Elephas maximus indicus: one gene and its partners. The protein of the gene in region 4 interacts with the protein of the main gene of each other region in a biochemical or structural test. Links are inferred from orthologs where the notes say so. Each region holds a gene or a part of one and is shown on either strand. Other genes may lie near its edges.

The links.
Region 1: the proteins of NRIP1 (region 4) and RXRA form a complex in vitro, tested with the Homo sapiens proteins (2 studies listed by BioGRID). The link is inferred for Elephas maximus indicus from reciprocal best matches to the Homo sapiens genes NRIP1 and RXRA.
Region 2: the proteins of NRIP1 (region 4) and THRA form a complex in vitro, tested with the Homo sapiens proteins (4 studies listed by BioGRID). The link is inferred for Elephas maximus indicus from reciprocal best matches to the Homo sapiens genes NRIP1 and THRA.
Region 3: the proteins of NRIP1 (region 4) and NR5A1 form a complex in vitro, tested with the Homo sapiens proteins (2 studies listed by BioGRID). The link is inferred for Elephas maximus indicus from reciprocal best matches to the Homo sapiens genes NRIP1 and NR5A1.

Annotation. Positions count from the first base shown.
Region 1 is NC_064827.1:4,206,659-4,214,200, reverse strand, and holds the start of RXRA (retinoic acid receptor RXR-alpha), read left to right. Parts: upstream 1-4,380; 5' UTR 4,381-5,507; coding exon 5,508-5,607; intron 5,608-7,542. UniProt on the Homo sapiens protein: Receptor for retinoic acid that acts as a transcription factor.
Region 2 is NC_064837.1:47,293,307-47,301,039, reverse strand, and holds the start of THRA (thyroid hormone receptor alpha), read right to left. Parts: upstream 3,098-7,733; 5' UTR 2,877-3,097; intron 2,696-2,876; exon of another isoform or gene 2,530-2,695; intron 1-2,529. Other genes in the region: MED24 (mediator of RNA polymerase II transcription subunit 24), read left to right, coding at 6,477-6,577.
Region 3 is NC_064827.1:75,534,860-75,542,224, forward strand, and holds the start of NR5A1 (steroidogenic factor 1), read right to left. Parts: upstream 3,165-7,365; 5' UTR 2,959-3,164; intron 1-2,958. UniProt on the Homo sapiens protein: Transcriptional activator. Essential for sexual differentiation and formation of the primary steroidogenic tissues. Binds to the Ad4 site found in the promoter region of steroidogenic P450 genes such as CYP11A, CYP11B and CYP21B.
Region 4 is NC_064836.1:46,669,216-46,677,137, forward strand, and holds the start of NRIP1 (nuclear receptor-interacting protein 1), read left to right. Parts: upstream 1-4,766; 5' UTR 4,767-5,003; intron 5,004-5,910; exon of another isoform or gene 5,911-5,989; intron 5,990-7,922. UniProt on the Homo sapiens protein: Modulates transcriptional activation by steroid receptors such as NR3C1, NR3C2 and ESR1. Also modulates transcriptional repression by nuclear hormone receptors.

The DNA of each region.
Region 1 (7,542 bases), on a different chromosome or scaffold from region 4:
GAGCACTTGGTGAGAGCTTGTGTTAAGTGGCTGGTTGGGGAAATGCTGCAATTCTGTAAAACAATTACCTTCTCCCCAGAATGAACCCAGCGCCCTTCAGCTAACAGCAGGGAGAGTGGAAGCCACCTCAGCCCAGAGCCCCGGCCTTTTGCTCTGTCTGCAGGGGGTGGTGTGTCTTGGTGTTTATCGTTTCTAAGCAAAAATGGAATACAGAGTTTCCGTTTCTGTCAAGGTTGGGCTGTCCTGTGAGGAGGGGGGATTGCCCCCACATTCCCTGCCTGTTTTTTGGGGGGAAGAAGGAGGCCTTTCCCCGGGGCTGGGCAGCTAGAGGAGAGGCTGCGGGTGCTGGATGCTGGGGACACTGGCTCTGCCACGCTTCTGCTCTCCGGGCAGCACTGGACCACTAGGAGGGCATTCTGAGGGGCTGGGGGATTCTGGGCCCCCCACAGGGTGTGTGTGGGGTTGGCCTTGTGCCTTTACCTCCACGTGTGCCAGCGTCTGTCTCGTTCATCTGTGCTGCTCCCGTTGTCCATTACCTGTGTCCCCACTAGTGTTGTGACACCAGCCCCCCTGCTGCCCGCTGTGGCCAAAGGGGCCAGACACAGGCTCTGCTCATCCCTGACAGCTGCCTCCCTCCTCTCTTCCTTCCTCCTCCTCTCCTGGAGTGCAGTCTGTAGTCAAGCAGCCACTGCTGACTGGCTTCATGTCTGTGAGCCCCCTGTTCCCTTTCTGTACAAGAGGGTGATGCCTACAACATGGAGTTGTTGAGAGAACTGAGGGGGTCTATTGTGAAGCGCCCAGCACAGGGCCTGGCGTGCCGTGGATATCAGAGAACCCCCCCCAGCCTGGTTGCCATTTGCTGGTGGGGCTGGGGCTCAGGGCATCTGCCTTCTTCCCTCCCTTGAGGCAGGGGCTTGGAGGTGGCTCTTCGAAGCTGAGAGGAACGAGGGGCCGGGCTGCTCAGCAGCCTGGTGCGGACCGTGTGGCCGAGGGAGACAGGACAGGTGCATTAGAGGAGGTGGCCTCTCTGGCGTTTGTGCACCCTGCTGCATCCCAGGCAGGCCCCTGCTGCTGGTCTTGAGCCCTGAGCTGGGCAGGCGCACAGGCCCTGGGCAGTCCCAGAGGGTACGTGTGGGGTGGCCTTGTGTGAGGTCTACCTGCAGCAGTGCATGAATCAGGGCTCGGTTCCCTGAACATCCCTGTAGGAGTGTGTCTGTGTATCAGTCCACCCACCTGTGTGGGCCTTGGGCCCTTAGGGTGGCCAAGGTGGTCACTCTGGGCGGGTCTTGGTGGGCACAGCACACACTGGCTTGGTTGCAGCCCTGATCAGACTAGCCCATCGATGTGGGGGGGGGGCGGTGCCCAGGGCATTGGTTTTCCCAGGGGGCATCCAGTTGACACTCCCTCTGAGCTCAGCACTTTCCTGGCGCCCTCCTCCCTGGGGTGGTGGGTGGGGTCAGCTGTCTTCCCATTTGCGCAGTGATGGGCAAGGCCTCAGGCTTTGGATGACTTGCTCAGCCCCGGGCTGATTCAGGATGGAGTTGGGGTCGGGACCGCAGCTTCGTGTGGTAGATTTTGGAGGGAGTGAGGAGCACCCCAATTCTTGTAGAGATTTTCATTTCTCCTGCCGGGAGCCTGCGGCCGCCTGCTGGTCTCGGGAGCCACGCCACTGCGTGTGGTGAGCAGGTTTCACCCCGAACTGTGTTTGGGGATTAGGCGGGAGCCCGGCAGGAAGCTGGCAGCCACAGAGCTGTGGGCAAGGCTGGGAGGCGGTCAAGAGCACGTTGAGGCCCGAGGCCACCCCGGCTGCTTCGGGAAGGGGTCTGTGCTCACTGTTGTCACAGGGAGGGGGCGTGTTCTCGACGGCATAGGCAGTGTGGGGCCCCGTAGGCGCTGCTGTGCTGTGGTTTTGCGCAGGGACCCGGCAGTTTAAGTCTCTGGAATATGGGGCTGGGGATTGAGGTTGCCTGCCCCTGTGGGGGACCCTTGGCCTGGAGGGGAATGTGGGTGCTTACTGGTTTGTTTGCGCAGAGCCAGGCTCTGGGTGGCCCACGGAGCTGCCCTCTGGGTGGATGCTGCCTAGTCAGAGCACCTGGTGCTGAGGGGCAGGGGCCCAGTGGGGGCTGTGGCCACCACAGGCCTGGTCAGTGGCTCTGGGTCACACGCCAGGGGGTGGGGAGCTCCGGTGGCTCTGGCAGGCAGCCTGGTCTTGGGGTTTGCTGAGGGAGGGGCGGCGACTCTTCATCCTCAGAGTGGCCCCAGCCCGGCCAGTGGTGGTCCTGCCCCATGGCAGCTCAGTCCCGCCTATGGCTGCAGAGGACCCTGGAGTGGCGCTGGGTGGGCTGGGCGGTCCTGGCTGTAACTTTGTTTCATTTCGTCCAGTCGGCTTGTCCTCCGTCCTGTGCGGAAAGAGAGGCCCAGCCCTATCTTGGGGTGGGGGCACCAGGAGCCCCTGCCTTTACTCCTGGCCAGGGAGGGTGGTGATGAGCTCTGAGAGCCTCTGCCGCCGTCTTCCAGTCAGTGAAGACACACAGCTATCCCCCGCTCCTCCCAGCGATATGGCTTCTGGGCTCTAGTTCCCGCCCTGAGGCCCACGATCCGCCTAGCCCTCCCACCCCCAGCTGGCGGCTCCCTTTAGGAGCACATGCACGAGGTAAGCCCCTCCTCAGTTCTCTCCTGTCCCTGGGGGCTCCTGAGGATGGTGTCCTGGCCTGTCTCCTTCACAGCACCTGCCCATTTTACAGGTGAGGAGACTGAGGCCCGAGACAGGCAGACACTGGCCTGAGGTCCTCAGGGTGTCCGTTCAGAGCAGAGGCCTGAGGCCCACTGGCTGACCTCCCTCCTGGGTGAAGCTCTGTCTTTCCGGAGGCCTCCCATGGGGAGGGGAAGTGGGCCTGGATTGAGAGTCCCAGCCTCCAGTTCAGCAGAGCCCACAGGCTGGCCAATGGCTTCTGCTTTGGTGACCAGAGAGGGTGCAGCAGGCTTTGTCTGTGCTCCAGGGCCATTTTCGGCTGCGGGGGCTCCAGCGCAGGGCCTGGTGTGAACTCAAGTGGTCTCTTGGGCCTTTCGAGGACTCCAGCCCTGTGGGGGCTGTGCAGCTGCTTTCTCAGTGCCCCCCACCCCCAAGGGCATTGCCTGGGCTCCCAGGTACCCTCTCCTGCTGCCCAGCGTCCTGAGCGGTCTGGCATTGCTGGCGCTGTCTGCTGTCAAGCCTGGGCAGGTGCGTGTTCAGAGGGCGGCCTGCCTGCCGGTATGGACGGGGGCGTCGTGCCGGCCCCATGAGTCATGCTTAGCCCAGGGAGGGGGTGGGTGGGGCGGGCTCCAGGCCGGCGTGCCGAGGCCTGTGTGTGGCCTGCCTGGGGCCTGGCTTGGGAACCTGGGGGCTGTACATGGGCACAGGGCGGCAGCTGGGGGCTGCCTGCTCTCCCCTGTGAAACAGAGGGCTGGATTGAGGGTTTCATGTCCTCAAGATCAGGTCTCTCCCTGCCCTTCGGTAAGCCGGGAGGAGGGTCTCAGGTTCCTGTCTGTGAGGTGGGGTGGGCAGGCTGGGTGGACTGGGGGTAGGAGCCCCTTGTACAGGCCCTACACCACTCAGAGCTCGCCCAGGCAGCCTGTGTCCCGGGGTCAGTTTAGAATGGCCAGGAGAGTTCAGCCAGGAGGCTGAGGGTGGGACGCAGATGGAGTGGTCAGAAGCTCGGCACCCAGGTTCCTTTTCTGGCAAGGGGAGTGCCTGAGGACCAGATAGGAGAGGGATTGTCCAGGGCCGATGGCCAGTGACCTGCCACTGTGGAGTATCTGCCACCCCTGCCCCGGCCTTGTTCTGTCCAAACTCCTGCTCCTGGGCAGCGTGGGAAAAGGAAACTGGCTGCCAGCCAGCTCCCCCAGGATCCGAGCACCTTCGGCCAAACCCTCACTCCAAGGCTGGGAAGGTCTGAGGCCAGAAGAGGGCCCTCTGGGGCTGCAGAGCTGCCAGATCAGGATCATGGAGCTTTGAGCCATAGGGGTCTCCCATGTGGCCAGTAGCCTCCACCTAGTGTGAGGTCTGCAAAGTGGAGGTTCCCCTTATCAGAGACAGCAGAGCCCTGATCTCAGGAGGGCCACCTGGAGGACTCGGGGGCTCCTTTTCTTGAGGACGGAGAGAGGTAGCCCGGGGCTCCCAAGGAGGTGGGCCAGCTGTGGCGGGGCTTAGAGGGTTCAGAGGCCTTGAAGTGAGACCAGGGGTGGGGCCAGTCTTGGAGCCCACAGTTGGGTGGGGGACGCAGACCCACAGAGGTGTATTGAGGGGAAGGGTGGGGGGGGTACTTGCCCACTGACACAAGTCTAAGGGGGTGGCAGATGAGATGTGGAATGATATTCTGAGGCGCCACAAATAGGAAAGGTGCCCGCCTGAGACAGCTGGACAAGGGGGGGAAGGTGTTTCCGCTATTAACGTCTGCTCATCTTGAATTGGCAACTTAAGAGATTGCCCCCGGGCACTTGTTACCCTCACCAGGCCCCTGCAGACCTGGCGCCTGCCACAGAGCTAGGGCTGGATGCGCTGAGAGTAGACTGCCTGCCAGCGGCAGGGAAGCCTTCCTCGAGGAAGCGTCCCTGGCGGGAGCCGAGAATAACCAAGGGAAGGACATGTTCGTGCTTTTTCTGAGGCTAGGACTTCGTCCGGCAGGGGCAGATGGCTACTCCCACACGCCGACCTCAGCTGATGTGCAGAACGGAGGGGTTGGCCCGGGCAGGCACCTGATGATGAGCGGGCAAGCAGCCAGTGGAGATCCCTGGCGGATTCAGAGGTTCTTCCGGCTGACAGGGCCTCCTGGCCTTGCCCATCTTTAGGGATTTTTTCCTGGTCAGCAGCTTCGAGGGGTGACACCGTGAATTAGTGGGGTACCCGGGTGTCCTCACCAGCCCAGCTACTGAGAAGCAGGCAGCTTCCTCACCTATTCTGGGTCCGGACACAGAGGTGCCCAGTGGTGGTTGGGCTGCGGCTATGCCTGGCACCTTTTTGTGCTCTGGGGTGGGGGTGACGAAAACGTGTCTGGGGCTTGCCCTTCGTCGTACGGTACATCCGTGTAGTGGTCAGTGGGGCTCTCCTGAGGTAGCCCCGGGCCTGTGGTCTCTCTGCTGAGGCTCCCAGCCCCCCTGCCGAGATAGGGCCAGAGGGATGGGGCAGCTGGCCAAGCTGAGGTGTGGAGGGGAACTGTGAGCTGGGCCTCATTTGCCTGCCCCCGCCCGTGCTGGGCCTACTCGTGCTGCTGGCTGAGGGTGTGAGGAAGGAAGCTGGGGGTGCTGTGTGTGTTTGCTGACTGGGCCCGGAGGGCTCCAGCCAGGGCGAGGCCCGGGGGAGGGCAGTGGGGGCTGCTGGGGGCCCGTAGGGCCTCCCAGGTCCAGGAGCCTGTGCTGAGGAGTCCAGAACAGTGCTGTGGCAGGGTCCAGGCGGCAGGAGAGAGGCCTGGCCTGCAGGCTGAGAGGAAAGGCAGGAGCCCTGGGAGTTCTCCCCAGGGCTGCCATCTTGGATGCTGCTGCCCTGGCGAGTGGACCCGACACAGGGGGCTGGATACCAGGAGCCCCTTGGGCTTGGGTGGGGCAGCAGGTCTGCGGACTCCGGGTCCTGGGGTAAGTGAAGGGTGCTTTCAGCTCACTGGTCTAGCTCTGTCCAGCCGAATGTGGGGAAACCAAGGCCTGGAGAGGGGCAGCTGATATAAGCTGGTGCACGTTTACCAGCTGGCCCTGGGGGTGGGGCTTCTCTGTGGTGTTGGCCGATTTCCGTGGTGGGAAGTCCCGTCACGGCCAATTTCAAGCCACCGACCTGACTCCCCTGAGTGTGGAGTTGCTGGGATACGTGCCTGAGAGTGGGCAGCTGGGATCCCGTGGGGAATGTGTCTCTGCCCATCCTCAGAGAGGCACATGCGTGCTTGTCACGATTCTGCACTGGGCCTGGGCTCTGTGCCTGCCACATTCTTGGCTCTTGCTGAATGTTGGGAGCACTCTGGTTGGGGGCCAGGAGGCATTAGGCCACGCCCAGGTGCAGGCTCAGACCCTCAGGGCTTGGTGTGACCTGCAGACAGGGCCTGTGTTTGTGCAGAGGTGGGGATGGGTGGGTGGGGGCTGGGAAGAGGAAGACGGCAATTGTGGAGGGTTGTTTTGTGGGGCCTGAGGCTGGTCCACACGGGTCTGAGGGGGTGGGTGGGCTGGGTGCCAGGCCCCTGGTCAGGACGAGCCCCATTCCCCCAGGGCTGGGTCGGCTGAAGAAGCTGCACAGTCCCCGGCCCGCCTGCTCCCTGTGAGGCTGAGGTTAAGCCTTGGGAGCCCTGAGGTCTTCTCTTCCCTGACCCCTGAGGACTCAGGGGTTTGTTTCCAGGTGATGTGGCTGGTTGGGCACGAATGAACCTATTGGGTGAGGTGAGCACCAAAAGGACTCCACAGGCACCTCCCCACTTCTGCCCCACCCAGGAGCACAGGCCCTCAGGCAGTTGAGGAGGATCTAGGGGTCATGGATGACCACCAGCCACAGCTGAGTTGGCTTGGCTTGCCTCTTGGGAATAAAGCTTTTGACTTGGGCTGGGCAAGGAGGAAGTAGGCTGGGCCCTGATCCTTGATCCAGGCAGGACTTGACCACACCCTCCTACCTGGGTGAGCTGGCCCAGGTGTGGTCCTGGGCCCTGAACCAGCCGTGGACGCAGCAGGGGAGGTCAAGGAGGAAATGGGGTCTGTCTGGCCAAGGTCTCGCCGAAATCGGCTTGGGGGGTTGTGTCATTGTTATGAAATACCACGTCCAGGGGACACAGAATCCAGGCCAAACGAAGATGCAGAAAAGGGCACACTCTTGCCCACCAGAACCGAAGCCTGTACCCGTTCACTCCGCAGTGTAACCCCTTGTCATTCCTGAACCCCACTCTGGGCAAGCTGAGCGTAGGTGCCTGCTCCATGTGGTGGGTGTGGGTTCCCAGCGGACTATGGTGAGCCAGGAGCTGTGCAGGTCTGCAGGGAACACGAGGGGGCCTAGGACAGCCGGGTGGGGAGAGGCCTGGGACTTGGGGATCTAGTGAGTTCCAGTGGTGTGTGCCTTTATAGGGGTGGGGGGCAACTGCCGCGGGTCCCACAGCCACTGGGGTTTCAGGTGTCAAGAGCAGTGTGAGCAGATGGTGGGTGCGTGCATGGCGCGGCCTGGATGGAGTGACCAGGGGCCTGGAGGGAGACCAAGGCCACGTGGCTGCTGAGTCCCAGGGGCTGTCGGCTTGGGCGTGAGGCTCTGTGCTCCTTCTCTGTAAGTTTTCTGGGAGCATGGACCCCTCCCAGTCCGCCCTGCTCCTCAAGCCCTGGGGCACTGGGGCAGCGCCAGCCGTGCCTCGTGAGACTGACAGCCACAGCTGAGTGCAGCCTGGGGGCTGGGTGTTGGGTGGGCTGGGAGGGCCTGTCAGGTGGCATGAGACTTCTGCTGACCCCCCCAGTCCTGGGCCATGTCACGGCCACTCGTCCCCTGTACTGGCGTTGCTGGGTGGCAGGAAGTGTCCAAGGCCTGGTGATGGGGCAGTGGGCAGTGTGCCCTGC
Region 2 (7,733 bases), on a different chromosome or scaffold from region 4:
GCTCAGCCAGGTCGTGCCAACTCCCACTACTGCCCATGGGGGTCATTATTTTCTAGCTTGGGTCAGTGTAGGTGAGGCTCCCTACTGGCTTGTTTGGGACCTAGCTAGCTGCAGGCTACAAACCAAGGGCTTCCACAGAGCTGGTGTCCCCTGGCTGAGCCCCCCAGCTGAGGGGTCAGCATGGGCAGCAGCTGACCTCCCTCCTTCCCATTCCCAGCCCCCCCAAACTGGCCAGCCACAGCTGTAGCATTAAGGAAGCGCAGGATGTCCTGAGCAGCCAGCTGAGCCCCCCACCCCCCACCCCAACCTCTACTTGACCCCAGAGGCAGGGCAGGCGGGGCGCAGGGGCGGAGTTTGAGTATTAACAACTGGAAAAGTATGAAGAACATCACCGCCAGTTCCCAGCTCTGAGAGAGGAGGCTGTGGCAGAAACAGAGACAAGGATGGGGTAGTGACAGGGTGAGAGAGTGTTCCAGACTGGCAGAGAAAGACAGAGAGAGAGGGAGAATCAGGCGCAGCAAGACTGAGCAACAGAAAGAGAGAGAGAGTTACAAATTCCAAGTCAAAAATACACATCACTCACCCAGACACTCAACAGCATACGGCCTCCTAAGGAAAGCTTCCAAGTTTGGACAGAAGGGCCGAGGTGGGAAAAGGGGCCCAACTCATGGTGGGAGGCAGGAACTCAGCTGGGGGCTAGGGTGCGTCCCCAGGAAAGGCCCAGGCATATAATCCACAGCAGGGGCAGCTAGATCCCCCAGTTTGCTTTTAGGGTGGGGATGAGGACCACTCCCTAGGAGCCAGCTCTCCCCAAGACACCCCCTCCCCCAGCACTCAGGACAATCCCAGCTGCTAGAAGTCACTGGGCACTGCTTCAGACCCAAGACTGGGCCCTCTGGAACCTCCCTGCCCCTACTCTCTTTGCTCTTGTTTCTCAGTCCCTCCAAAAAAAAAAAAGAGTCCATTCCCTTAAAACTCAGTGGCTGATCCTAGAGGAAGAAGGAAAGAAGACATAGAAGGAAGTTTCAGGAGAAAAAAGCCTGTGATTTTGTGGGTATCCAGGTGTGTGTCTGACTGCATGGGCTGCAGTGTGTGCATCTGGGGTTGTCTGGACACGACTGTCAGGGTGGACCTGAGACTGTGTGGGCCTGGGCTTGTGAATTGGGTCTGCACCTGAGCCGGTGGGACTGTGCAAATGAGTGCACCTGTGTCTGCAGTTCCCACAGTCAATTAACACATATTTACAGGACTTCTTGTGCTAGGCTCTGGGTGGTAACCAGAGCTGTTGAAGTGATTCCCCCAGGTCTCAAGGAGCTAGGAGGGTGGTAGGAGACAATCAATAGAGACTGAAGACGTGTTATCCTGAATGCCTGCCTCCTTGTACCATGATGCAAGAAAGTCTTTTCACAAAGGTGAATTTAATTTTCTTAGGAGCAGGAGTTTTGCTGTATACAGAACCCCAGAGCCACACAGTAAGAATCCAGGAAAATACTTGTTGCTAAGTTGTGTACATGTGTTGATGTGTAACTGCATTTCTGTGACAGCGGCTGTCACGGCGGGAGATGATGTCTGTGTGACTGGGGTTATGTGAGCACATGTGTGCCTGTGAGTGACGGGGTCTTTTGTAATTGTGCAGCTGTGTGCAACGCTCTGTGTGCATGCATGCTTGTGACAGTGACTCCTCCTTGCCCCTGAGTGTGACAGTATCTCTGTGTTACCCTGTGCGTGGGTATGTTCATGGGTCGCTCTCCCTGCTCTTGGTCTCCCGTGGGTGTGTCCTACCCCTCTGAGCTCCACAGTGCAGCGGCAGCCTGCCCCTTCTCTTGTCCCCGTGTGGGTGTGTCCAGCAGCTCCTGTCCTTGAATCTGCCTGGGTGTCCCTGGGTGTGCATGTGGCTGTCTGTGTGGGCATATTTCTGTGTCTGCATGTCACATTCGCTGCCCCCCTCATCTAGGACAACAGCCCCCTTCATCCCCTCCCCCTCCAGCCAGCATTGGCTTTTCTTCTGTGCCCCCACCCCACCCCTGAAGCAGGTGGCTCTCTCCATTGTCCCTATCATCTGCCCCCCCCCCCCCCCGCGCAGGCCTCTTCTTCCACATGGACAAGGGAGGCTCCAGACAGAGAAGGGGCATCAGAGACCCATTGCAAGGAGCAGAAAGCAAGGAGGGAGAATACACACAAGTCCTTTGCTCCCTCTCTTCCCCAGCCATCCCAACCTGCCACGCTTCTAATCTCCTAGGGACCCTCGACCACAAACCCCCCACACACACTTTCCCCCCCGAGTCGCGTTTTTGCAATTAGGAGTGTTGCAACCAGAGAACCATGCTCAATTGGAGAGGCGGGTGGAGTGGGAGGGGGAACTTCCCTCTCCCCGCGCCCGTGCAAGGCCACCCCCCGCCCCCCCACCGCACTCCCACTGCCCTCCGCAGCCGGAGGCAGCTTTGCAATGGCCACTCGGCCTCGGAGGCTAGGGGTGGGGGCTGGGGGGGGCAGGCCTCCGGCGCACCGTAAACAAACAGCGGCGCGGCGGGCGGGGGAGCTCCGGCCGGCCAGCAGCCCGGCCCGACCCGGGAATGCGCAGCAGACTGGCCGGACAGAGGCCGGGCGGGCCCTAGAGGGGGAGGCCCGGACGCCATCTCCACCGGCGAACCCCGGGGCCCACCGACCTCCCAGCAACACCTCCATTCCCCAGGGCGTAAGTTGCAAGCGCCCGGGCTATGACAGGGTAACTGGGGCGCCGGGAAAGGCGGTGGCTGGCAACCGGATCCCCTGGGCGCCCCCAGACCGCCTAGGAGCTAGCCTTAGAGCCCCGCAGCTTTGCATAATCAATCGCGATACATTTGCATATTAATGCCCCCTCGCTCCCTCCCCCTTACCTCGGCGTGGCGCGCTGGACCGGGCTGGGCAGCGACCAGGAGGTCTCAGCGCCCCGAGCCGGGGGCGTCCATGGGGGGCCAGTGGGGCCCGGCCGCCCGCCTCCTGCGCCCGGGTGTGAGTGCGAGTGAGCGCGGGGGGGGGGCGGGGGGCGAGTGTGGCGGCCCCGCGGCTCCTCCAGCAGAGGCGGCGGCCGCTCTGGCTCCTCCCTCCCCCGCCCCGCTCCGGCTGGGGCTCGGGCTCGGCGCGCCCGGCCGGCTCGCGGCTGCTCCCTGCAGGCCGCCGCGCCGCCGCGGGCCCCCGCCTCCCGCCCCCCGCCGCGCCCCGGGACCCCCGCCAGCGCCCGGCCGCCCCTCGGCCGCCTCGGCCCCCGCCCTCTCAGATGCGCCCTCCCTGCTCAGGCGGCTCCTGCAGGAGTGGTACTTGCTGACAGATTTTGGAAAAGATGTCTTTTAAAAAATAGCCTTTGCTTGGGCAGTTCGGGGTTTTCGGTTTGCACCATGGGGGCGGGGGGGGGCCTGGGAGAGAGTGCCAACGGGCCTCCTGCACCTCCTAAATAGGGGGGAAAAGCCTAAATACCAAACGCCTGGAGGTTTCGAGTTCATTTCAGAGTTCGGGTCCCTTCTCTGCCAGTACCTCACTGTGTGACCTTGAGCAAATCACCACCGCTCTCAGGGCTCAGCTTTTTCAACCTCAAATGAGAGGGTTGGGCAGGTGACCCCTGAGGTTCTTTTAACTTCAGTCATCCTTTTAGGGGTTATCAGCTCATTCCCCATTACCTCCCTCCCCTCTCATTTCTAACGTTACTGATCAGCAGCCTCCCCTTTGAAATGTCACCCTTTTCTAAAATACGCTCTTTATATCTCACTGTCACCAGCCTTTTCCCCAACAATCTGACCCCGCTGAGCTCGGGGAGGGGCCAAACTTGCCATACCCCCTCAACTCCCAGTTTGACAGGGATGGCATTTTCTCCCATGTTTGCCCCCACTAAAACCCAAAGGTACCAGGGCCATTCTAAGGAGGAGGGTGGGCTGTATAAAAACGGACCCCCTTTCCCAAAAGGGAGGTCTCCATTGTGCTAACCCCACCCCCCATGCACACACACATACACACCTGCATTCATGGACATAAAACCATCCCAGTGACGCCAGAGCCCCTTTCATCTCAGGATCTCCCAGCACCAGGCAGAGCTCTAATTACCCTAGCACCCACTCCCCACCCCACCCCCCCGCCCCACCAGTTCCCCTGCTGTCATTAGCCCAGTTTTACCAGCGGGGGCCACAGCCTTCCCACATCTCCTAGGGTGGGGCTCCATCTTCACAGCCTGCTCTTGTGGAGGTGTGTGTGTGTGTGTGTCAGGAGGAGCCTTTGTGTTCATAGCCCAGTTTGTACTGGGCAGAATCACTTTCTGAGTGTGGGATTCTAACTGGCTCTGGTGGGGTTCTGTTGCTCAGCAAGTCAGGCTGCCCTTAATCATCTTAGTCTCAGCCACCTGCATCCTCAGCTCTGTCAGAGCCACTTCTCTTACAAGGGGGACTGGGGTTCACAATTCATGGGGGAGAGGAAGGTGCCTTTCTCAGGGCCCCTGGGGCCATGGCAACGAGAAAGGCGGCTGGGGTGGCAGCCATGGGGTGCAGAGTGGATGGCAGTGATGAGGGCTGTGCAATGCATGACAGGAGCCTGCAGTGTGCATGCAGTGGCAGCTGTGGTATGCAGAGACAACACAGAGTGAGTGAACATACAGGTTCAGTCTGGGCTCACAGTGGACACGTGACAGCTGCAGTGTGGGGCTGGAGGCTGCAGCGTGCAGTGTGCAGTGCGAGGTGCACTGAGGGTGGCTGTCTGCGAGTCACTGCCACCTCAGTGATCAGCTTTGGCTGAAATCCTGGAGAATAAGTCTGCAATGAGCAGCACTCAGGGTGTGTGTCCCACCCACTATGGAAATCGCCCCATAAGACTGGGCTGCCTGAGGATTTGGCCCATGAGATACACTGGTAGTCTGCAGTGAGCCTGGCAGAACCAGGAGGGGATAGACAGGCCCAGAGTAATCTAGATTGGGGCAGGGGTGATGAGGCCCAGAGGGAGAATGAGGCACCTTGAACTCAAAGAGAAGAGTTTCCCCTTTCCATCTTCTTATCTCTCTCCCTCTCTTGGTTCCCAATATGAGCTGGTGACGGACCTGGGCAAGGGCAAAGTGAAGGGCATACTGGCTCCAAAGCAGCAGACATCTTGCCAGGTGCCAGGATCTAGCCCAGGCCTGGCCTTACAGCCCTTGCCCCTGTTTTGGGCCATCCCTCTTCCCACCCCACTTACCCTATCCACCCCTGTTTCTTGAAGCTTCCAGCTCTTCTTGGATTCAGTTCATCCCTGGCTTCCATTCCTCCTGGCTACAAAACCCCCACCTGGGCTGTGTTGGCACTGTCCCCTTCCATCCCCCCACCTCTGCTTCATATCAAGCCCTGAGTCTGTAGGGAGAGAGGGAGGGTGGGTCACAAGTGAGGATGGATAAGGACCCTCCAAGGGGATTTGTCTGGCAGCCTGCTCTCTCTTAGATTTCCGTTGCCAAGGAGGCAGCAGGAACAGCCTGTTCTCTGGCTCCCATCGGAAAAGCCATGCTCAGTCCCTCCCTCTCTCTTTCTCCTTCCTTCCCTCCCCCCTTTCTCCCAGACTGTTGCTAGGAAGCACCCTAAGATTTCTGGAGGGTTCCGTTCCTAGGGACCAGAGACTCCAGATATCTTTCTGAACAGCTTCCTCCAAAAACCTAGCAGCCATGATCTTACACAGCATCCTCTACCCCTGTCAAGAAGCCTCGCACACCCCCAAGCAGTTTTTTTGGGAGCAAGCCTTTGCCAGCCTGCCTTGGAACCAGCTCTGTGGTCCCAGCCTTGGTGATTCTTGTCCCTCATATCAACCTCTTAGGCTCTGGGTGATATCAGCAAGTGATAAGGTATACAGTGGAGATACCCCTTGGCTCTGTAGACACAGCCCCACTTATTGGGGTACACTGGAAAGACAGCAGAAGAAACTGAAACACTACCGTAGAACCTAAACCCCAGGTGTCTCTTCCCCTTAGAGATCTCCCAGTCAAGAAGAGACAGGGAAAATGGAGGAAAGAAAAGCTGGGGGGGAGGCAGGGAGGAGGAGCAGACTGTGGGAAGTTAACGAGTAATTACTCTGAAAAGAGTAAGCCAAAAACCAAACCTCCCCCCCCATTCCCATCTAGTCAATTCCAACTCATCGTGACCCCATAGGACAGAGTAGAACTGCCCCACAGGACCTGAGGAGCAGCTGATGGATTTGAACTGCTGACCTTTTGGTTACAGCGAAGCTCTTAGAAAAGAGGAAAGTGGCCACTCAATTCACCTCTATCAATCTCCTTTGTCCCGTCAGGTGACTGGTTATGGGTGGCAAAAGAGGGGGCTAGGGAAGGGACTCAGGCCTGGCTGAGCCTTGCTTTTGGTAACTGAGGTAAAAAGTGGAAAAAGAAGCTGACACCTTCCCCAGACTGTATTTTATTTGACACACATTATTTTCACCATTTAATGTGTCAGGTATTGGATCCCTCAGATTTTCCCAGCTTCTGGTTTCACTTTCCCTTACAGCATCCTCATCACTGCCTTTACCAAAAAAGAAAGGAGCTGAGGGGCAGACTGCTTTACCATCCAAGCCTGGGGCTGACCATCCTGCGTCCTTCCCACAGCAGGTGAATGGGAGGGTCTGTGTCGAGGCAGGCAGAGTATACAGTATGTAAGGCAGAGTGGCTCTCAGGCCCTAGTGTAAAGGAAATAGCAGGCAGGCCTCCTTTCCCTGCCACTGTCCAGGGCTCAGGATCACAGTACTTTTCTTCCACTCTAGCACTTCTCTTCTGTTCCTAAAGGCATCCTCCAGGGTGTCAGAAAGGAAGCTATTCCAAAGGTTGGTTCAAATTCTGCTTTTCATTGTTCAGCCAGTCTCTTTCTGGACCTCTTGTGGGGGCAATGAGAAGACAGAGACTGGGAACAGTGGGGGACCCATGAGCTGTCCCTGAGGTGTGGTCACCTGTAGGCCTCTCCCCCATCATCTCCTCTCCCAGACAGAAAGCAGGGATTTTGATTTGGGAACTGGAGGGGGAAGGGAACTGGTTTGGAGCCAGCTGTGTATGAGTGTGTGGGATGGACATTCTTTCTTTCCCCATCCACCTGCTGCCAGTTAAGTCCCCATAGTGGAGGGACCCAGGCAAGCTTCCAAAGAAAGATCTCCCAGTTAGGAGAGGGTAATGACTCAGTTTCCCTATGGAAATGAAAGAAGTTGAAACCCTCTGTGTCTTGTATGCTTGCCAAGTATTTCAGTCTTTCTGGGCTTTTAGATTTGGACTCTTGCCACTTTTCCTTATACACCTTCTTAGCCTAGGTAAGAAGTGTACCCTTCCCTTTGGGTACCCAAAACTCTGTTCCTCACAACCTCTTTACCCACCCCAATCACCCACTCTGGCCTAGTTCCTTTTTTAGCCACTGCTTCAAATGTTGCCATGTCACTGCCTGACTGGCTTCCATCTGCCTGTCTTCTCCAGCCAGACCCCTTCCCCAGCCAATCTAGCCAAAGGATGAAGAGATTGGGGCTCAGAGCTAGGAAAGCAGACAGGGGAGCTCAGCCCCTATCTGTGCTGAATCAGAAGAAATAGATAGAAAAGCAAGTGGAGTAAATAGGTGGGATTTTTGGGCAGGACTGAGGGGAGAATTTCCTTGTATACCCTAAGGGGATATCAGCATCTCTTCTCTCACCCTCTGGATGATTATCAAGGAGTCTAGTCCTTGTGGAATCTAGTCAGAGAGCTGAAGAGGGTCCCTAGGAAGATATTGGGGAGGTGGTGTAGAGAAAGA
Region 3 (7,365 bases), on a different chromosome or scaffold from region 4:
GCGGAAAACGACGGCGCCCGGGACAGAGAGCCCGAGAGCACTGTCGCCGGGACCCCTGGGCTGGGAGAGACAAAGCCCGCGGCAGCGACGGCAACGGGAGACGCAGCCCGCGCCCCGGAGACCGAGACGTCGGGCGGAGAGATGGTGAGGAGGGCGGAGCGGAGACCGCGGGCGCCGAGCGGGGAGCCACGGAGACCTCGGGCGGAGACCCCGCGGGCTCCGGAAGGCCGAGCCCGAGGCAGAGGAGCAACCTCGGGCGGAGAGTCGAAGTCCGGACGAGGGAAGGGTGCAGAACCCGGGCGGGGACGCGAGACGGGGCCGACGGCTGCCGCGGCCCGCGCAGCGCCCACCTGGCGGCTCCTGGGAGCAGCAGCGCCCCGCGTCCCGCCCGCGTGGAGCCCCGCACCTCCCGGCCGCGCCGCCGCTGGCGATGAGCCGCACCCGGGCGCAGCGCCGCCCGCCCGCGATGACGGCCGCTCGGGCCGGGGGCGGGGAAGCCGGGGCGCGGGGCCGCGGCGCTCCCCACCCCCCGCCTCCTCGCCACCCCCACCCCCGCGCCACCAGGGCCGAACCAAGGCGCACCTGGGACCCGGGCCCCTCCGCAGCCTATGCTTGCTGCGCGAAGCCTCCGCACGGGGCCGGGGACCCGCCACTCTATATCTCGGTGTGCGTTATCCGGGGGTGGAGGCCCGCCCCGGCCCGGCCGGCGCCCTCATCCTCATCCTCAGCTTCCCAGTCCCAGCCCATCCCCGAGCCCACGCGCGGCCAGGAGGTGGCAGAATCCAGGCGACAGGGGATCCGGGCAGGTGCCTCGCGCCGGGGAGCCTTGGGCCACCCGCCTGCGGTGGGAGGAAGCGGGCCCCTGTTTGCATGTTCAGCTTAGTTGTGGCGAGGGTCACGCTCGGGGCTCTCTGGTCGTTGTGCAGCATGGATGTGGGCGAGGACGAGCGTGGGGGAAACGGTGGCTAAGGCAGGGGTTCAAGGCTGGAAACCAGAGTCTCGCCCTGGCCCAGCCCCATTATTTCATTCGAGCCTTAAGCAAAAACCTCCCTCCTTTCTGGTCCTCAATTTCCTCATCTGTGAAATGGGAATGTTGACTGTTCTTCCGTAAGGGTGGTCGTGCTGATGAACCCGAGTGGTGTTAGCAAAGCACACTCGGGGCATGGAGGAAGCGCCCAACAACGCGTTCAGCTGGGAGAGCTGGGGCAAGCCCTTTCTCCTCCATGCGCCTCAGCTCGCTCATTGGGAATAGTGGTGATCCCACTCTGCAAGTCTTCCAGGGTCTCTTGAGGGCCGGAAGCCACACGGGGAGCGGGCGCATTGGGAAGACAGAGCCTGGCGCGGAAGAAACCCCGTCCCCACTTCCTCCGGCTCTGCGCTCCCAGCCGGGCTAGGGGCGGGGGAAGGGAGCGCCCTGCAGCCTTGGGGACAAAAGGGTCTCTGGGCCAACCCGGCGAAGCAGTTGGGAACAACCACCGGACCACTCTCATTTTTCAGTGAAGAGGTTGAGACTCTAGATAGGAAGGGGTCCGCTGACATCCTACTCCGGCTTCACCGAGCACCTGGAGTCGGAAAGTGAGGGTTGGTGGTGGTGAGGCCAAGAAGCTGCTTTCTATATGCTGAGAAATGCTGCAATTATGCTGCCGCAGCGACGCATCCAACCTAAACGCCGAGGCCGGTAGGCTCGGACCCTTGGCCACGGCCTGCCCCACCTGAACCCGCGACGCCTCCGACTTCTGCCAGAGCTGGCTCCTTAGTCCTGGGAGCCAAGGCCTAGCGAACCTGCGCAGATCAGCCCTTATCCCGCTCACCCCGCGAAATGAGGGCCAGAATCTGCTGCTGACTTGCTGTGCAAACTCAGGCAGGTCATGTCACCTCTCTGAGCCTCAGTTTCTCCGTCTATAAAATGGAAAAGATGGGCGCAACAGACGGGGCTCTGCGGTTTCCATGAGTCAATGAGCGTAAATCTTGGTGGGGAGCGAGAGAGAGTCGGAGGGAGTTAGTTGCAGGCTCCCACCCACACTCCAAACCCCTAAGAAAAAACATCATTTACAAGAGGGTGGGGGTGGACTACTACTGCCACTGAACAGGCCCCCATGAGGGGAGGGGCCCTCAGAAAATGGAAAACAGGAGAGGTACTACCTCTGTAGGGGAAGGCAGGGGGGCTACTGGGGGAGAGAGCTGGGCTGGGAGGGCACTGGTAGGCTTCCCTAGGTTAGAGCCCACCTGGGGTATCTTGACCCAGGAAGAAGACCCAAGCAGTGTGAGAACAAGTCTGGGCTGGGGGGCCAGTTTGGGTGGAGGGGGAGCTGGGCTAGTTCTTCCCTTCTCCCTCTGCCTCACTCCCTTTTCCTCCAGGTTGGGGCCCTAGGGTTAGCCTTCAAGGCTCCATTGTGCACCGCCCTCCTGCCACAGCTCCAAGTGTCAGAGCAACATGTGGGTGACTGCAGCCCTCTACCCACATGCTCAGGGAAGCAGAGAGAGGACCCTCTCCTTCCCACATACACCTGGCCTAGCCACAGACTGGGACTGACAGATGGACACTATAGACTGAGCCATGGAACACACAGCTCAGAGACATCACAGAGTCACACAGACACATAGGCAGGGAGATCCAGAGCCCGAAGACCGGGGCCCAGAGATCCATGGACGTACTCACAAAGTACTAGACTCAGACCGATACATCCCTGTGGACACTCGGCCATGGATAGACAGTGGAACACCCGCAGACCCCCATAAGGCCTGTCCCCACAGGCCTAGCTCCTCCCATCAGCCGCTCAGGGAAGAAGAGGGCTAACATGGTGGGAGGGCAGGTCTGAGGAGACCCGTGGCCCCTTCTTTGCCCAGGGCAGCAGGCACCAGTCACTCAGCAAAGCAGGCAGTGGCCAGCCCAGGCCGCAGGGAGGCACTGAGGAGAGAGGCTGGCCATTAGAGGCCTGGGCCCAGGCCCTCACTTACGGAGCGGAAGGCGAGCAATTATACCAGATGAGAGTGGACAGTGGACACCGGGGGTCCAGAAGGAGGCTCCAGCGGCCCAGGTGGAGCAGTGGCAGTCGTGGGCACACAGGAACTCCTTCTCGCCACGGCGGACAGCGGGCGGATAGCAGACTGGCCCTGTCCGTTCGTCCTCCTCCTCCTCCCCGCCCTGGGGGGGGGGCCACCGGAGGCCCAATTGGTCTCTGCCCCCACGTGACTCTGCAGGCCTCTCTCCTTCTTTGTTGGTGTTTCTCTTCATTTAGGTCTATTTTTTTCATCTCCTAAAAGAAAAAAAAAAATACCCCTATCTATCTGGGGGCCGCGGGTGGGGGCGGAGGCCAAGGCACTCTGTAGGCCTTGGCCGGCTGGCTATTGCAAGCCGCTGTGGGAGCCCAGAGGCAGGGACCCCACGTAGGCGGGTAGGCAGCCCGCTTGTTAGTGACTGGGTAGGAGTGGGGTTTGATTTATGGGCTGCTCCCCCACCCAGCCTGCAGCCTGGCCTCTCTCCCCTTGAATGGCTACCTCCCTGGGGCCTGGCCCAGCTTGGTCCGGCCTGGCCCAGTTATGGGAGTAGACTCAGGCCAGGCTGGCAAGGAGACAGGGGCATGAACGACTTGACCAGGGGACTCTTCTACTTTGGCCTGGTCCTTTTACTCTTCCAAAAGGTGAAGAAAAGAAGAGGGGAACCGAAGGCAAGCAGGTGAGCTGACTGAACACCTCCCGTGTGCATTCACTGTTGGCTTCTCTGAATGTCTTCATTTATCCTGGGCTGCTGCTCCTAGTCGATAGCTGTGAAAACTGAGGCTGGGCTCAGACTGCCTTCTGGGCCAGGTGGTTGGCTATGTGGGCCCTAGTTTGGGCCAAGTGGGCAGCTAGGCCAGGATAGGCAGGGCAAAGGGAAAGGGGTTTTATCTAGAAATCTCGGTCTCTTGCAGAAGCCTGGGATGACCCCATCTAATCTGCAGACCCACACAGGTCCCAAACTGACCTGGTCCCATGGGGCCCAGATTACTCTGCCCTGTACCCTCCCATGCATGACATGCTCATCTGTATATCCCTTCATCCATCTGATGTTTGCTGAGTGTACACTAGGCACTATTCCAGGCACACCCATCCAGTGGCACTGGGGAGCCTGCAGTGAAGAAAAGGGAAGAAGTCTCTGTCCTCAGAGGATGTACCTTCCACCCATTAGGCCTGGGAAATGAGAAGGAACACAGGTTGGCCATGGGGCAATTTATGTTGAGAACCGCCCCATACACAAACAACCACCTTCATTTGAGGAAATGGGCAAATCACAAAGAACATCGTACTAACCTGGCTTGGGGTGAGAGGGATTTTTCTAGATAACTAAAGCCAACTATATTTAAAATCTAGCTTGTCTTTTTTTTTTTTCCGCAGTGCCATTTTTAAAAAAATGTTTTATTGTGAAATACATACAAGACAATTATTTTGCTGGCAGTCATAATTAACTGATTCAAGACTGTGTCTCACATACTTTGGACATGCTGTCAGGAGGGATCAGGCCCTAGAGAAGGACAGCAAAAAAGAGGAAGACCCTCAGCGATATGGATTGACACAGTGGCTGCAACAATTGTGAGAATGGCGCAGGACTGGGCAGTGTTTTGTCCCGTTGTGCATACAGTCGCAGTGAGTCAGAACTGACTCGAGAGCACCTAATAACAACTGATTAAATATATCTTAACTCTACTTACAATATAGCATACAACTTATTTCCCTACACGCACAAACTCGTAATTATCTTCTTCACCTACAGAAGTTCTTACAAGTCTTGCATATGACTGAACCTAACGAGTCTCTCCATTTTAATGTATTGATTTTGTTTCTGGATTAATACCACTCATCTTCCAGATTTAAGGAAGAAACATCCCAGCAAAAACCCTGTACCACCAACATGTCACATACATGTAACAGCAACAACAAATCATACTTCTTTGCACTCTTTTCATGGGAGATTTTGTAAAATAGTGTCCACTTTCCCTGCCTTCTTACACAGGGCAGACAGGGTCTCTTAACGCCATGACGCCATGGAAGGGACCAGGCTGGCTTGGTCACAGTCTCTTGGTGAGTCCTCGCCCTGAGAAAGAGACTTGCTGAAGGACTAGCGATGGAGGCTCTCAATTGAATCTCCTTCCTTCCACTTTCTAGCTGTGTGACCTTCTATCAGTCACTTCACCTCTCTGGACCTCATATGCTCTGAAAAATAGGGATGAAATGAGACAAGACATGTAACATACTCAGTGACTGCTTGGCACATAGTGTGTGCTCAGCAAAGGTTAACAAAACACAAACAACAAGCTGAAGGCCTGACAGATCTGTCCTTAGGGGCCCTTTCTGTGTTGAGTCTGAGAGTGCAACATTATCATGAACTGAGATGATAGAGTGACTCACCCCAGCCTGGGGAACCCTCAAGAGAAGGCTTGGGCTGATTTGTCTCTGGGTCCACAGCAGCAACCACAGAGCAAGTATTTGTTGAATGACTGCATGCCCTGCACTGAGGGCTCCAGATGCTGCCTGTGGGTATAGAGGTCTGCCACTTGCCCCTCCATTGTCCTGTCCCCTTCTCTGTAGGAAGGAAGTGACCACTCAGGCTGGGCACTCCTCACCCTCCACCCCAAATTTCTAATGAAGCCTGCATTTGCTTACCGCCCTACTCTATGCTGCTGCCCTGCCCACAGCCATACTGGGTGCTCCATGGGCACAGGAGGAGTCAGAGTTGCCACAAAGCTGAGAATGACAAGGCTCTAAAACCAAAGTGCCTCCTGTGTGCCTGGTCCTCTACTAACCATTCTCACCTGCAATCAGTCTTGAACCCTCTCCACCACTCTAGGGCAGTAGGTAGTATTTTCCTCCTTCCCTCCTCCCACCCCCGTGAGCAGCATTTGAGAGATGAGACTTCCCAAAGTCCCAAAGCGAGGATGTAGTGGGGCCAGGGTTCAAGTCCAGTCAACAGGAGTCTGGAGCCTGGCTTCAAGGCTCAGTCTTCCCCACTCTTCCCCTGGGTGGCCTGTCTATTTGTCCTCTTCTTCAAACTCCAGCCCAGGTGGTCCCAGGCCATGAGACCCACCTGGAAGAGGAGAAGAAGGGATCTAGGCTCCTGTTTCCCTCCCTCCCCAGGCAAACAAAGCCCAGGGTCTCTTTCCTAAGTGGGGACTTTCCCAAAGTGCCAGGCCTATTTCCTGGAGGTGGAACAAGGAACAAACAAACCAGATACCCAGAAACTGAAAAGGAGAGGAGAGAGGCAGAATCCCCCAGTCGGGGCTGGGATATGATATAGAAAGGGGAGAAACAGAAAAAGAGAAAAGCCATAGAGAGACCGAGGCAGAAAATAAGAAAGAGAAGGAAAAGGGACAGACATGCACTGACAGCAAAACAGACCCAGAGATGGTCAGAGCAAGCAAGCAACAAAGAAAGAGAATGAGAGACTGAGGCAGAAAATGAGGAAAGAGAGAGGGGCTGGGGCCCACGAGCTGGAGGCAGAGGGAGTGTGAAGACCCTAGCAGGGCAGCGGAGGGGGTGGGCCTACTGGCAGCAGCAGAGGCTGTTTCCGCTGCACCCCTTATCAGCCTGCTGCCAGATGTTCAGATCCGATGCCAATGTCAGAGAAGTCCATAGTGCTGGGTCAAGGCCGTGGCCGCGGGAGCCTCAGCTGCAGTGTGGGGAGGGGAGCCAGGGGCCTGCAGTAGACCTGCACGCTCTTCCCCCTCTGCCCCTTGGACCTCGGGCTGCACCACCTGGTGGGGGTGGGAGAGACCAGATGCCTCTGGGGGCCACTTCTCTAAGGGACTAAAGAAGGTCTAGTCCCTCGGACATGGGGACCTGGGGAGGACCTGGTAATGTGTGGATACTACGTTTTTGCACGTCCCCACATGCGAGGAAGCATGTGGACACATGCACATAGACGCACCCTCATGCACATGAGTGTGCAAAGCCACACAGGGACAACTCACAGTCCTGTGCCTGGTCGCTGTGCCACAGCATCCCCTCTGCACCCACAGCCTACTGGAGCTCCTGGTCTCCACAGTCAGCTCAGTGGCCCCATAGCCCCTCACCTGAACCAGGGCTGCAGCCAGAGCTGGAGAAGCGAGATCAGAGGCTCTGTGAGGTTGGCTGGGTCCCCAGGACCCACCTTGTGCCTCTGTGAACAGGACACTCAGACTCTGGGTGCTCTCAAAGTTCCAGGGCTGGGCTGAGGGACCTGGGAAACTCAAGTATATGAGCGTCTCCTAGTGAAGACCCTCAGGAGGAGATGCAGGAGCTGGGTGTCTGCAGGGCTGGGCTGCAGCCTTGGGACTGGGCTGCCCCACCATGCTCCTGGAGTGTGCAGCCACAGCTGGAGCCCCTTGCCTGGGGTAGCTTATCTCACGGTGC
Region 4 (7,922 bases):
GGAATTAATGGTCGGTCCTTCCCAGAAAGCTCCTTGAAAGGGTGATAGATAGACCACCTGACATTCTTCCTGTATGGAAGGTAGACTTGATAACTGGAGCTCTGTAGCTAACTAAGATCATAAGATGACCTTTCAGGTGAAAACCAAGAGCCAATGAGAGCAGAATAGGAGCAATCTGGGTGCCTAATGACCATGGCATCACGGCTTTTTGGACTCCGTAGGTATCCCAGACATTTTCTTGTTTGGGGACTAAAAAGGCATCACCATACATTTGCATTTTATTATTTGTCATTTCCTTGTACACTTCCAGCTGCCTGGACTCAATTATTTTCAGATTTTCTTTTTTTTAAAGATCTAACCCTAGTCCTCATGACTCCCTTTAGTGTAGAAATTTAGTATCCTAGTACTTCAGTCCCACCCAAAATAAAAAGCTCCAATTTCATTAAAGGAAAGCTGCATAGTAACCTGCAGAAAGGGTGTCTGAACATCTCCATTTGAGCTTGTTAGGCCTCCTTCAACGCTCAGGTAGCTGTAGCACATCCTTATTGCCGCAGCTTTAGGTAGGTGGCTGCCTCAAACAAAGGCTGGGCAAATTTTGTAGTCCACAAGTAACTGAGCATGGAGTAGTTGAAGAGCAAAACCTGGCCTTCTACAGCTAGGGGGATGCTTCACAGTAACTAGCATAGAGGTAAGTCTGTGCTCTAAAAAAAAATAGGGAGGACTTTTTTTTAAGCTTACTCAACCCAAAATTTTTAGCATTTCATTTCTGCCGTAGAGCCAGTTTACATTTACAGTCCACCACCGTAGATGATAGAGATGGGGTAGTTGTAACTATAATACGATTAATGAAGACACAGTACATAAAGTGTAAACTTTGTTGATTCTCTAATTGGTATAAAAGCCTAGACTCAAGAAAATAGTCTTTATAATGCAGTTTAGTTAAACACTGGTAATCGGCACAAATTAAATCTAAGCTTTAATAAGAAGAGAAAATTCCTTTTGGCTTTACCTAGTTAAAAGTTTCACAAGTTCTTTAGAGATACACTGTCTAATACACTGGTCACTGGCCACATGTGGCTACTGAGCACTGGAAAGTGGCTAGTCCAAATCGAGATACACTGCATGTGTGAAATGCATGGTGGATTTTGAAGACATAGTACAAATAAAGAAACCCTGGTGCTGTAGCAGTTAAGAACTATGGTTACTAACCAAAGGGTTGGCAGTTCGAATCCACCAGACCTTCCTTGGAAACCCTATGGGGCAGTTCTACTCTGTCCTATAGGGTTGTTCTGAGTAGAAATTGACTCGGCGTCAACGGGTTTTATTTTGTTTTTTTAGTACAAATAAAATAATTTTAAATATCTAATTAATAGCATTATGTTGATTACACATTGAAATGATAATATTTTGGACACATTGGGTTAAAGTACATTGTTAAAATTATCTTCACCTGTTTCTTTTTACATTTCTAAATGTGGCTACCAGAAAATCTAAAATGACATGTGTAGCTCATATTTGTGGCTTTTTTTTTTTTAATTGTGCCACGCTAGAGGTTATGGGGCTGTAACTAAGGGTATAGCTACACTGAAGTTCCATCTGTATATAATATATCCATTATTATTATGTATAATATATATACATATAAAAACCCACTGCCATGGACATATACATATATATATCCCCCCAAAGTGTAATAGTTCATTCCATAGTGTGTAAGTTCAATAATTCTCAAAGCATGTTTTTGTTTTCTTCCTACTTCTCTATTGTAAAACAGTCTGTATCTTCTCCTGAGAACTCCTTTCCCACTTTGTCTACCTGGCAATTTCTTCTCACCATTTAATAGCCAGTTGAAGCATGACTTTCTCTGTAAAATTTTCTCTGATCTCCCTTGCTCCACACCCAAATAGAAATAAACATTCTGTCCTCTAGGCTATGACAGTATCTGCCCCAGTGTTTACTGAATGCCTTCTGTTTGCAGAGCACAGGGCTAGGTGGTGGAGATATCCAGATGTGAGTGTTAGGGATATGGGTTCCCTGCCTATAGTGTTTGCGTGCTAAGTGCTAAGTACAGACAAGCAAACACCCCATCACTAAATGGTGTGAAAAGTGCTATCACAGGAGAGGTTCAGGTGGCACATCTGAGACATACCTCACCAGATTATTTTTTTGTGGTAGGTAAGCATATTGAGCCTGAACTATAAGTATCTGATCCCACAGGAACCCTGGGCTTAAAAAACAAAACAACAAAAAAACCCAAGTGTGTAAATGGTTAAAAAATTTTTTTCACATCACAATTTATTAAAATGAGAGTTGGCTTCAAAATACAAATTACTAAATAGGCATGCTTCTATTACATACAAGCCCCAGGATCCCTGTGATGACTCTTAGCCTGGAATTTGGGTATTGATTAAAAAAAAAAAAAGAACAACAAAATCATCCCAACACAATTAAGCAGGATTAAGTAAAAATGAATTCCACAAAAGGTGTGCAATTTACTTAACATGAGTGCACTGTCAAATAGGGTTTGAGACTTCAATGATTGGCTTTCTGTTGGTGTTGAGAAGGCAGATTCATTACAAGGAACTAGCAGTTCTGCTCCCCCTTTGTTCAGTCATCTAACATATGGCAGTGGACTTTTTAAAAGTAGTGTTGAAGGGCAGGACCAAGACTTAGCTTGTTGGGTTAATTATGTAACCTCAGGTTTTAAGAGGTTGTTTATCTAACAGCCTCAACGAGAAGCAAAAAGAATGTTTCAAAAGCAACATTCGAGCTGTCCAAATATCTGTCCTAGAGTCTACGCACTAAGGTAAATGTGCCTTACTCATTGGTGAGTACGTAAGTCTCTGACATGGAACCTATTTAGTTTTACTTTAGACAGGATTGTGACAAGCGAGGCTATCTGAATTCCCAGTCTGCCCAGGCTAGAAGCTGCCAATCAGAAGAGGAGGGGAATGTTAGAGGCAGGAATGCTGGCAACAGAGAGACAACTGACAACAGATTGTCAGTTAGTGAAGGGGGAGAAACTACAAAAGGCCGAGTTAGTATCTAAGTGGTAGCATTCCAAAGTCCTTTATTCAGCCATTGATGTCTTGAATGCAATGGTTAGGAAACCCTGGTGGCGTAGTGGTTATTTACAACGGCTGCTATCCAAAAGGTTGGCAGTTCGAATTCACCAGGCGTTCCTTGGGAACTCTATGAGGCAGTTCTACTCTGTCCTATAGGGTCGCTATGAGTCAGAATCGACTGGATAGAATTTTTTTTTTTTTATGCAGTAGTTAAGAGCTAAGGCTGCTAACTAAAAGGTTTGCAGTCCGAATCCACCAGCCACTCCTCTGAAACCCTATGGGGCAGTTCTACTGTGTCCTATAGGGTTGCTAGGAATCAGAATCAACTAGATGGCAACAGGTTGATAGCTCTTTAGCCTCTGGGAGCATCCTTAGCACCTGGGAAGATACCTGATATAGAATAGGAAATCGATGCGTTTGTGGAATCCACTACAATCTACTACAATAATTCATTTTAATAAAATTGACCTCGGATTTTCAAGAAAATGTTAAATGACGTTCAATGAAGTGCTTGAGAAAACAGAAACATTTATAATACATTTTGGAAAATCTTTCCCATAAAAGTTAAAGCATATTTTACCAAAAAGTTTGGCCCCTTAAAGGGACAAACTCTAATTATGCTGATCATCACTCACTGGGGCAGTTTATTTTGTATCAGTCCTGGATAAATGACGTATTACAGAACAGCAGACTTTACTAAGGAATTCACCTGGAGCAGATTTCGAACCGTGGTATATGCAAATAAACTATTACATGAAGTTTAAACCGTATAAGAAGGCAACAGATTGCATAGTTGAATCACCAGGCTGATGTAAAACAGTTTTAAAATGCACCATCACTATTAAGCAAAATATTCCTGCCATGTGCCAGGTGCTGTGCTAGGTGCTAGATTTATGAAGAATTATTTTCAAAAATGGCTTTCGCTTTCAAGACTGTGTAGGCATTCCGAAACTCTCATTCATATTTTTAAAGGTTAAGTGAAATTTTAAATGCACAATACAACCATTACATAACAGACATGGAACACGGTTTTATAACTTGGATAGTTTTTTTTTTTTTTTTTTAAAGTGCACTAGCAACTCTATTTTCAAATGCTACCAAATTGGTAAGGATATGAAAATCTACACGAGTGGAGTGCCTGACTCATTTGTGTAAGAAGTGTTTTAACACGAGTGTGCCATTTCGGTGTTTAGGGTGAGGCTAAGCTGTACTTCAGCGTTTTTGTGCCAAGCAAACACAATTTCAGCAGTGGCATCCATTTCCCTTGATAATTGTTTCAGGGGGAGTTACTAAAGCTAGAGCCAAAGAGAAACCTGACATAGGTGATGTGTTGAGGGAGTGTTAATAGTTCTAGTTAGAGGTTTGGGGAGCTTTGAAGATAAGATGTGCGAACAGCAAACGTAAAGAGAAGGGGGAAATTATGGTTTCGTATGACTCTCTCCTCCCTACACTTTCTCGCTTCACCAATCTATAACCCTCCCCCCCACCACACACACACACACACACACACACACACACACACACACACACACACACACACACACACACACACACACACACACACACACACACACACACACACACACACACACACACACACACACACACACACACACACACACACACACACACACACACACACACACACTGAGAGGCGTGTTCAGCGAGATTAGGCTGCAGGAAACCGAGGTACACAGAGCTGCCGCCCCGGCCTCGTGATGTAATTGTTATTTCTTATTCGGAGACAGAACCGAAGAGAGCTGCTGAAGTGGCAGCCCTGTTCTTTTCGCCTTGTCTTGTCGGGTCAAAGGCTTTCCGGGGATGATGTGGATTCGCTGACAGACTCCGCTGGAGACTTCGCAGTGACAAAGCAACTGAAGATAAACCCTGTTCCTGGGTCCTACGTCCGTCCAGGGAGCTGAAAGGGGCGCTCCTCAGGTCTCCTTCCCAGTTTTCCTCTCGGAGGCACTCCACATTTATCGTTGGGTGCCTACTGCGAGCTGGCCAAGGGGCCCAAGTAACCTAGTGTTAGTGCCCTCGCCCCTCAAGATTAAAGCAGGACGCACAGATTAAAAGGATGTGGAAGTTGGAGGGTGGGTGAAAGGTGCCGCGGGAACGCGTGTAGTGGGGTGAAATGGGAGGAGGGAGACTCATACGGCGCCAACAGCCAGGCAGGGACCCTGGAAGCATTTAGGGTGCCCGGTCGCCCAGGCTGCGCCCCGAACGCGAGCCCTTTGTCCTAACGTAACAGGAACTATGCCCCCAGGCCCCGGGGAGGAGCTGTCCAGGTGCCTGAGGCGGTCGGGGGCGGCTGGACAGATCCAGGAGCCGAGGGGGACGGCTGGGACGCGCCGAGCACCCACTTCTCCTTGCCGACGCGGTCCTCCCGCTCCCCCCGGTCCTGCAGCCCCGGCCCGGCCCTCTGGGTGGCGGGCGAGGAGGAAAACAACAAAATAGAGGGGTCTCCCCAGCTCCTGCAGCCTCCTGGACCCGAGCGCCCCGGAGAGACGGGGGAAAAAAGGGTTAAGAAACTTGGCTGAAGAGCTGAATGGCGTGGAGCGGCGAGGGGAGGGACTGGGCCGCGGAGGACTCGGCGGCAGAGGGAGGAGCGCGGCTGCGGGCGGGCGGGCGGGCGGGCGGGCGGCGAGCGAGGCGCTCAAAGTCAGCCTCGCAGACATTGCAGCAGAGCCCCGAACTCGGGAGGCGGCGGCGGCGGCGGCGGCGGAGGCGGCGGTCGAGGCGGAGGGACAACCCGGCCCCGCGCCCTCGCGCCCGCCCGCCCGCGCGTGCCCGCCGTGGCCTCGCGTGGGCCGCTGTGCTCGCGGGGAAGAGCTCGCCGGGGCGCAGACGGAGGACGAGGCGGCAGGGCGCCCTCGCGGACTGAGCCTGACGGAGCCGCAGGCTCCGAGCCGCAGCGGCTTCGGGTGAGTGGCGGCCGCGGCCGGGGGGCTGCGAGGAGCGGCCGCTCGCGTCGCCGGAAACGGCCCCGGAGCGCGGCCCGCGGCGTTGGCGGGCAGGGCCGCGGGGGCGTCGGGGGCCTCGGTGCTGGTGGCGGAGCGAACGCAGGCAGCGGTGTGGGCTCGGCGGCGGGGAGGAATCGTTTCCGGGGAAATCCCGCCTCTGCTTCTCCGCCCCTCCCGGGTTCGAATCGCCCCGGGAACCCGGGGGCCCGGGGGGCGAGGCTGGCAAGTTGTGGAGTTGTAGCTGGGTTCGCTAGCCCGCCCGTGCCGGCTCAGGGCCAGGGCAGGGGGCGGTTGAGGGTCCCTGGCGGCGGGACGGGCCCGGGGGGCGGGTGGCCGGGCTGGTGTCGCGATCGGTTCGGCTGTCCCCCTCGGCCCGGAGTCCCGGGCGCTTCTCGCCGCGCCGCGCTCGGTCCTGCTGCCCCGCGGCGTCCTGGGCGGCGCCGGGCGCTGCTCCCCGCTTCTCGCCCCGGTGCCTCCTTGGGCTGTGCTCGCCCGATTCCGAGCCACGAAAAGTGAATAGGACAGGGGACAGCTCTGTGGGCCCCCAGGCCCGCCCCGCCGGTACCGCTCCCGAGGGCGAGGCCCCTGGGACCCGAGGCCTCAGCCATCATTTTACCTCGGAGCCAGGAAACTGGCTTTCATTTAGGGTGAGCCCGGAAAGGTCCTCGGAGCTTTGAGGAGCCTCCTTTTCTCTCCTTAGGTATGTGTCCTCCCTATTATTTTTGAATATCGTTGATTTATGAAGGCTTTCCATGCAAATCGTTTTACATACCCGCCTATCCGTTCCAAAGTAGTTTTTAAAATTTTAATCAGGAGTTCATCTCCAGTCAGTAGGAACAAAGGAATCAACTGTGTCTTAGAGAACAGGCTGGAAGTCTGACACATGTTGATCGCTGAAGCATTACAGGAGTTTCTAGTTTTTACCACGTTAGTAATTTAATTGGTTCGTAAATAGAGGAAAATAGGAGAATGAGAAGCACTTTTGTTTTAAAATGTTTTTTTAACGGGACATTTTATTTTGGGAGAAAAATTGACTTGTAACTCAGTTGGTAGAACTCAGTTGGAGCCTATCGCCTGTAATGCAAGCGATTAAATGTGAGGTTGTGGGGAAATATTTTCTTTACAGGAAGCACGACCGTGTATAGGTGTCTAAAGTAAAAATGGTTGTCGGTTATATACGATGAGTACTCTTTTCATTTCTTAGGGAATTTGTGAAGTCAGGGGCTCTGGTAATTCATTCTTTAAAGTTATGAGTTGCGTTGAAGCCGCTTATTAGTGAATCATAGGTTTAGCAAGTGGGCGGCATCTTCCAGATGAGATTATTCAATGTTTAATCATCAGTTTGCCACCTTTGTTGAAGAGAGCAAAATAAGTGGACTTTTAAAAACAAGTGGGCGCTTTTCATCTGTCAGGCACCTAAGTGTGGGTTGCTCCCTGGAGTGTATTGAAATGTTTTTCAACTTCCAAGCAAGTTACTCTGCTTTTGTCTGGCGGTTTGGTAACAGTGGTTTGGTGACATAGGTAGGGGTTTCACTGGTTCACGGAGCAGTGGCTTTAGCACTAACAGTAACTTTTCTCTGCCTCTTCTTAGCTCTTAGAGACAAAAGAAGGAGGGTTGATCTATGGAGCAGCTGCTAACCTGCAGGCTGCAGGATTACTAGATCTGTGTTGTACACTCTGCTGGGGAAAGACCTCTTTCCAAAAAAAAAAAAAAAGGGTCTCAGGAGTGTGAGTAAAATATGTATTAAAAAAATGAGAGGACTGCTTGTTGTTGATTTTACTGAGATGAGTTCCCAATAGTGTATTTGAGGTAATTGGAAGCTGAGTTTAATGCCTATGGGAAAATTTGACTTAGAACCACTTCTGGCATGCTTCTCCACACTCTGTGGAACTT